Linked DNA regions of Mus musculus: region 1 is reported to be linked to region 2. Evidence: microRNA targets listed by miRTarBase, many of them from high-throughput screens and not tested one by one. Region 2 holds a microRNA gene; the other region holds the end of a gene's coding sequence.

Evidence for each region. Region 2 holds the annotated microRNA mmu-miR-323-5p (AGGUGGUCCGUGGCGCGUUCGC, at 1,938-1,959, shown strand). A microRNA usually pairs through its seed, bases 2 to 8, with sites in the 3' UTR of a target mRNA and lowers its output. Matches are read on the target gene's strand: a 7mer-m8 pairs with bases 2 to 8, a 7mer-A1 pairs with bases 2 to 7 and ends in A, and an 8mer does both.
Region 1: miRTarBase lists Gpx5 as a target of mmu-miR-323-5p. Seed matches in the 3' UTR shown: 7mer-A1 at 3,019-3,025 and 7mer-A1 at 3,016-3,022.

The regions. Positions count from the first base shown.
Region 1 is chr13:21,283,939-21,287,995 of GRCm38, forward strand. It overlaps Gpx5 (glutathione peroxidase 5), which reads right to left. Exons shown (of 5, transcript NM_010343.2): 5 at 2,491-3,634. The coding sequence ends at 3,428. Among named protein-coding and RNA genes, the nearest start is that of n-TRtcg2, 6.3 kb to the left of the region's middle.
Region 2 is chr12:109,710,586-109,714,650 of GRCm38, forward strand. Mir323 (microRNA 323) reads left to right here and starts at 1,923; the gene lies at 1,923-2,008. It overlaps Mir299a (microRNA 299a), which reads left to right and starts at 53; the gene lies at 53-115. Mir299b (microRNA 299b) reads right to left here and starts at 108; the gene lies at 60-108. It overlaps Mir380 (microRNA 380), which reads left to right and starts at 1,218; the gene lies at 1,218-1,278. It also overlaps Mir1197, Mir758 and Mir329.

The DNA.
Region 1 (4,057 bases), not on the chromosome of region 2:
TGGCCACTGAGAGGCCTTTGAGTCAAAGAAAAAAGAGCCCAAGTCACTAAGTTTCTTTTCTTAATTCCCTTGCTGCTATCAGTAGGAGTCAATTGCCAGAAGCTGATCAGCTTTTGGTCCTTGAATAACAGGAGAGAGTTAAATTGCTAAAAGTCACCTGCTTTTGGCCCCCATTGATGCCACCCACCCTGCCTTCCTCAGTATCTGACTGTTGGGGTGGGATCCTGACATTTTAGACTCTTAATCAGTGAGTAAACCTACATCTGTGGACATCTGTTTTAATGGAAGTGTTGATGCATCAAAACATCTGTGTATAGAGGATTTATCCTCTTCCAACGAGTTCTCCAGCTGGTGTAAAGGAGCAGTCCAAATGTGCAACTTAACTTAGTTTTCTTGTGCTGTTGAGTAGCAGAACATGAAAGATGTTGTCTCTGTGTGTCTGTCTGTCTGTCTCTCTGTCTTTCTCTCTCTCCCTCCTTCCCTTCCTTTATCTCTCCCTCTGCTTCCCACCTTCTCTTGTTTTGAGACAGGTTCTCACTATGGAGCTCAGTCTGACCTTGAGTGGGTGGCTCTCCTGTCTCAGCCTTCTTAATGTTGGCATTATAAATGTGCATCACCACGTTGGCCCTGAGACTTTTTTTTAAATGATCCAGCAGGAATGGTTTCACATTTAGCTTTTATTTCATGACATGTCATTCCAACTGTTCACTGTGTCTCTCCAAACTGTAGACTTCCTTCTGCAATGATAACCATTCTATTACCACCCACTGCTTTCAGTGCTAACATGTTACTAGCGTGTCTCCCTTCATGGTAAACTGTACCACTCAAATTGGAGGGGAGTTTCAATAATCACAGATACTTTGTGGCAGAAGCTATTTGTGCTACATTTATTTCCTAATTGTTAACTAGGTGTGGATAATTTAGCCTTTAAAAAGTCACATTAGCATCTCTTCCTTAGATAGGCATTTCCCCCCTGTGTTGATAATTGCACATTGGAGTTCTTAAAATGAAGACTGTGAAATGGAGATTTTAATTCACCTTCATTATTGGATTACTGGGGTGTGTGACTCAGTGCCTACAGGATCTACCATCATGAGCAAGTTCCAGTTTGACACTCACATTTCAAGAAAAAAATTTTACCAGGACATTAGTGAATTGTCAACACCTGGGCTTGGGGTTCCAATTAATACATACATTCTGAATTTGATGCTCAACTTGAGTGACACTAGAACACACAGCAAGTTAGAGAAGTGGTTTTTATCAGAGAGAAAGACTGGGCTGCAGAGCAAGGACAAAAGGTATCAGCCAACTCCCCAGACGCCTCTGGAGCTGAAAGGCCTCAGATAAACCCTTGAGGCCAAGACCTGATGCAACCAACTTGGTCTGAGGCAATTCTTAAAGCCAGGTGCCAGCCATGAGCCTCAGGTGACAACTTTCTAAACATCTAGGAGGATAAATACTGTTTGAGATGTTTTCAACTTGACTACATTTGGAATAAACTACAATCCAGAAATGGAGGGCACACCAGTGACCTAGATCTTGAGGCTTGAAGACAAGCTTTTGAACCAGATCTTGAGGCTGGAAGATACACGTCTTTAATCCAGATCTAGAGGCAATCTGATCCATACATTCTGCTGGAGGCCTACATGAGGACAATGGAAGAAAAAAGGGTTTTTTCTTTGCCTGCTTGTACTTACTTTGCCAGTACATCTATTGGAGCCTACTTCTTCAGGATTCTAGCTTATTTAGAAGACCAGCTGAAACACCCAGCCTCACAGGACTGAGCAACTACTAGATTCTTGGACTTTCCAGTCACAGCTGGCCATTGTTGGATTAGTTGGACTGCAAACTATACATCATTCCAACAAACTCCCTTTAATGTGTGTGTGTAATTGAAAGGAAATAAAACTGTAATTCATGTAATGTATGTCAAATAGCCCAAAGAGTTGTTTGTGAGCTTTGAAACCTGGGGCTGAGAACATAGCAGAACAGACCAGGACATGCCCTGGCAGGCCCATTGCCTCCCTATCTCCCACCCCTCTGACCTAAGTTAAATGTTACAGGCTGCTGATGTTTAAATGGACCAATCATGTGAAACCGCGCCAATTCCTCCCCCAGCCCCACTCCTTTTCTATAAAAACCCCTAGCTTCCAAGCCTCGTGGTCGAATCCACTGTCTCCTGTTGTGTGAGATACGTTTCGACCCGGAGCTCCGCCATTAAAATACCTCTTGTTGTTACATCAAGGTGTTGTGTTCTATTCGTGATTCTTGGGTGCACGCCGAATCGGGAGCTGAGTGGGGGTTTCCCCACTGAGTTCTTTCATAATCATGTATTACACATTATATATTCATTCCTTAAGTTCTGTGACTATAGAGCCTTGACTGATACACTGTCTCTGAAAAAGTTCATAATGTGGATGTCACTTATAGTGTGGACAGGAGGAGAGATTCAAACATAAACATCAATTAGGAATGAACCACAAAGGTCTTGAATGCTTCAGAAAACATTTTATTGGAAATAATATGTCTAGTTCTGAAGTTGAAGAATCCCAGGTTGGGGTGTGTATGTGGGGGGTCCTATTCTTCAGATGATGAAAGGCATCCCCACTCATAAGCACTAGCTGACCCCGTGAAGATCACACAGAAAGGAGCACTTATGCAGAATCAGGGACAAGTCCCCGATCCTGGCATCAGGGAGATGCCCTCCTCCTGTGCGAGTCAATCTGCTCAGACTCTCCCTCAGATTGGCCGCAGGAGAAGGGCAGAGAGGATGGAGACAGAGATGAAGACCGAATTAAAAGACCTCAGGAACTGACAAGGCATTTGTCTCAGGAGACACACAGTTTCAGAGGAGCAAACTAGATTGTCTGACCAGCCTCCATTGCTCTTTCTCCACCTTCAGGCTGGGAAGAGAAAGACTCAGAATGGCCAAGGGGACTCTTCCTTCAGATACAGCCTCCAACCAAGCTATCCCCATATCCTTTGGTGAATTAGAGTAGTTCAATCGGGTTGTGTTGGTGGTGGTGGATTTTTTTTTTTTTTTTTTTGGACACATGATATCTTGTAGCTTAGGCTGGCCTGCCATTCATGTTCCTCCTGTCGCTGCCTGTCTGAAATGTCTGTAATGTCTGCTGAGTGCTGACATTATAGGTGAGTACTAACATACTCAGCCAAACCTCTGAGGTCTCTGGATTTAGCTTTTTCTTTTTTCTTTTATTTTCTCTCTTCAACTCATAAATCTAACAAGGAAAAACATCTACAGCTTCCCAGACACAAATCTACTTGTGCAGGGGAAGAACTTAGGCAATTTAGGGGTGACTTGGGGAGGTAGAGTCCATTTCAGTGAAGAGTGTGCTGAGAAGATGGAGTCTTTTTTTCAGAGCAGTCTTTAAGGGGGAAGGAGGAAGAGGTCAGAAGCTTGGCCTTCCTATATGGTTTTGAAATGGCTCAGGTACGCCATGATGTCAGACTTGACAGTGCTGACAGGAGCCTGGTGGAACCAGCGCATGACAGGGATGCCATCGGGTCCCACCAGGAACTTCTCAAAGTTCCAGCGGATGTCATGGACTTTTATTGGCTCCCAGAAGGTATGTTTGCTCATGACCACAGTCTCTGAGGGGTGAGGACAAGAACGCTGCGGCAGAGAAGCAGAGAAGAGAAAACACATTATTTCTGTTCCTTAGATGACCCAGGGTGTCCTCATTCACAGGCAATTCCCTCCCTGTGACACCCATACATCCCATCCTCCTGTGGTTCCTGCTAAACCCCACAAACCCTGCTCCTCATCGTGATGCCAGATGCCAAGAATTTTCTGATCTCACAGCCTAAGCACATTCCTTCTTTCTGTCCTTCACCCCAGGGCTCCATCCCATTCACATTACATAGCTTAAGATGTATTTATTGCCTTTCAAGCTTTCATTTCTTGTCCTTGTCATTGTTTGTTTGTGAGATAGGATCTCACATAGCCCATGCTGGCCTCAAAGTCAATGTGTCTCTGAAGACGACCTTGAACTCCTGATACTCATGACTCTACCTCCCAGTGCTGGGGCCACAGATG
Region 2 (4,065 bases):
CCTGGCAGACATGAACCTTCTTACAGCTGTCCTTGCTGTCACGCGGTACTTGAAGAAATGGTTTACCGTCCCACATACATTTTGAGTATGTATGTGGGACGGTAAACCGCTTCTTGGTATCCAGCCCAGCCATCCAGTCCATACCATCCTCGAGCAAGCCTGAAGTGAGAGAAGAAACGTTGTTTTGGCTTGCTCTCTACATCGGGCTGCTTGGCCAAACATCCCTCTGCTTTTTGTGTGCTTTCTCTGTTAATTCATGTGGCAAGGTGTTCCTGTCAGCTTCAGTGCAGCCCTTAAGGGCTTCTTCAAGGATGATGACAACCTCCAGGAAGGTGTCCTACATCCCAACTGGGCATGCTCCCTCCCTCCTTAGGACTTGAAAAAGTGGCAATTAGCTCCACAGATGCTCATCATCAAGGGATGCTGCGTGTTTTCATCATCTGCAAAGCTATCATCAGATGCCTTCAAGACATTATGCCCATAGAAGGACAGCTAGGGCTACATGATACAGTGCAAAGACAGATGCATGAAGACACAGTCCCTGTTTCCACTGATGCTTCGTATATAGTATCTTTTTTTCCATATCAAGTCTAGCCTTCTAGAGGAAGATGACCCAGCCTGGCTCCTCCATGTATGCTTACAGATCAAAGTTGCTTCTTGGCTCACTTCTTCTTACCTCCAGCCCAGCCTTGGAGAACTTGCTGAAGATGCTGCTAGCCTCAGAGACAGGGCTCTGGTTCTTGCATCAGCAATGACCTCACGGTACCTGAAGAGGGATCAAGCAAACTGCATGTGTATTATTAACACCATTTGTAACCTGGCCTACTCTTTTCAATATCAACTTCAGCTTTGAAGGTTTCCAAAGAGGCCCCATTAACCTTGGGGGTGGGGGGGCAAGGCAGAAGGACAAATGCCTTGGGGTAGAGGTTGTCCATGCTTCTTGCTTTACTTACAGCGCATGTTAATTTGGTCCACCTTCCCATAATAGTGAATGCGCCTTGGGGGCTTCCTGTGAACAATATTTCCTTAAAGGCACAGTGCTAGTTACGGGGTCTTCTCTTCGCGTCCTTGCAAACTTCTCTTTGCTATATTCTCTGCATCTGCAGCAGGCAATGCATGGTGGTCTCTTTTCAACATTGCATCTAGGGTTTCCTGGAAGTGATAATCATGAGGAAAGAAGCCAGCTCCTGCACCACCCTCTCTCCATGGTACCTGAAAAGATGGTTGACCATAGAACATGCGCTACTTCTGTGTCGTATGTAGTATGGTCCACATCTTCTCGTTATCAAAGTCATTCGTGAGGGTTTTCCAGAGACCGAGCCAACTTCATGGGAGATATCCTGTCCTGGCTTCAGCACAGTACTTGGGGAGATGGTAGACTGTCGAGTGTGTGCGTTAATTCCAGCATGTACAGCATGGTCCACCACATCTCTGCATCAGCCGGTCACCAGGGGCTTTCTGAAAGCCATACCAATTGAGAGTAGGGCTCAGGCGGCAGACCCTATCCAACACAGATTACCCAGTGCTTGGCTACAGGCCATGTTCATTACCTACGACTCTGGCCATTTGATCCAAAGCCAATATTTGGCACCCAGCCCAGCCTTACAGGGCATCCTGGAAGTCATAGTGGCATTAAACATGAGTTTGTGGCCATTGCCACACATGCCGATTGCTGGTAGTTTGTGACACTCATTGAGAAGGCATTTTGGAGGTAACACCAAATTAAGTAAAGTGAGCTGGAATCAGCCAGCGTTACCTCAAGGTATTTGAAGATGCGGTTGACCATGGTGTGTACGCTTTATTTATGACGTAGGACACATGGTCTACTTCTTCTCAATATCACATCTCGCCTTGGAAGACTTCCAGGAGGTGACATCTGCTTTGAGGAAGAGCCAGTGTCCCGGTCTTCCTACTGCTGCTGCTTGGTACTTGGAGAGAGGTGGTCCGTGGCGCGTTCGCTTCATTTATGGCGCACATTACACGGTCGACCTCTTTGCGGTATCTAATCCCGCCTTGCGAGCTTTCCTGGAGCTAACACCAGCTGTGGGGTGGGGACACTAAATGTGTGTGCTAGCGCAACCCAGCCAGCGGGTTTGTCTTTTCTTGTGTCTGACAATAACTCTTGTGTGGCAGCCTTCTTCTCAGCAAATTTCTCTGGCTTGGCAGCTTCGTGGGCAGGGTGACTTGCAGACCAGGAAAGTGGCATCGACATGTGATACACGTGTGGGTGCGTGAGGTGGTTGACCAGAGAGCACACGCTATATTTGTGCCGTTTGTGACCTGGTCCACTAACCCTCAGTATCTAACCTTCCCTTGGAGAACTTCCTGGAAGAGATCTCAACTTTTGGGGACAGAGGCAATAAGCCAGCTGTACGCTGTTAGACTTGGAGACAGCATCCTCAGTACTTGCAACATATGTGCCTGTTATGGTAGTATTGGATGGGCTTCCAATGCTGTCCTATACTTGGATCCCTTCCTTGATATGGGGCCATCCAAGTTCAAGAAACGTACCATGTTGTCAGACATGACCAGGGTGTGTGTATGCCATTTATATATGGCACAGGTCGCAGGTCACCTTAGCACACTTGCATGCTAAATCTGTGGGAGGAATCATCTTTGGTTTGGGGGCATCTGTGCCTTTCTGTGGTTACCCAAAATGGTGGTAAGTCCTATAGCCAGTCTCTACTGCGCCACTGCTCTCTGGTTGTGACATAACTTCAGGATCATGCCATGGAGGTCTGCTGTACTGGGGCATGTGATGGGATGGCTGTCAGATATATATCAACTAATGGCTTGCTTGAGCACTTTGACTAACATCCAGTGTGCAACCCTGCATTCAACAGGCCTGCCAGGTCTGAAGGTCACGTTGGGGAATTACCGAGGTAGTCTTGTCAGTGTTCGCTTCTGGTACCGGAAGAGAGGTTTTCTGGGTCTCTGTTTCTTTGATGAGAATGAAACACACCCAGCTAACCTTTTTTTCAGTATCAAATCCCATCTTGGAGGCTTCGTGGTCCAGATCCCAGTCTCAGGGAAGGATGGTCCTGTCAGCATCCAGCCAGGGGACAGGAATAACTGGTTCTCCACAAAGCCAGCGAGTGGATTATCGTTCTGAATGGTGTCCTTTGTCCTCTAAACCCTCCCAGGCCTGCCAGGTCTGAAGGTCCAGTTTGGGAAGGTGTCATTGTTATTGTTAACTGAGGATGTGGAAGAGGGGTTTCTGTGTTTGAAACACATTTGGTCAACCTCTCTTCCCATCAGAACAAACTATGGAGGCCTTCTGGTCCATACCTCAGCCTCAGCTGAGGACACACTAATAGTTATGAACAAGTGAGTGACGGACAAAACCCATCCCATACATCAGATTTCTGTTGCCTGTGCTTCTAACCTTCAGTATCTTGTCCATTCTCAGGAGGACTTCTCAACCAATATGGTGTTCCAAAGTTGGGGAAGATGGCAGCCACCGAGGCAACTCTACCCCAGGTCATCACAGGTAGGTTGCACCCACTTTGCTTCTAACAGGTTAGACACAGCCACCCCCACACATGTCCAGCATGCTTTGGAGGCACGGTGATGGGCTTTTAATCAGCCAACCCCTGCTATAGGACTGTCTATTGTAGAGAACACCCACTGTGTCAGATGGTACCTAGATCCATGCTATTCACACACACCCACATCCTTGTAATAAGAGACTTGGAATCAGCAGTGTTCTAGCAGTAGGAAAGCAAACCTGAAATTGGCACACACATTTGCCCAGTGAGCTTTAAGATATGAAATCTGGAGCGGGGCAGTGGTGGCGCACGCCTTTAATCCCAGCACTTGGGAGGCAGAGGCAGGTGGATTTCTGAGTTCGAGGCCAGCTTGGTCTACAGAATGAGTTCCAGGACAGCCAGGGCTATACAGAGAAACCCTGTCTCGAAAAAAACCAAACCAACCAACCAACCAAACAAACAAACAAATAAACAAAAGATGTGAAATCTGTTCTTAGTCCTTAACTCCACCCAGGGTTGTGGTCAGCAGTAGAGCTTTCTGTGGGGTTCCAGGTAGAACACAATTCTCATCTGCAAA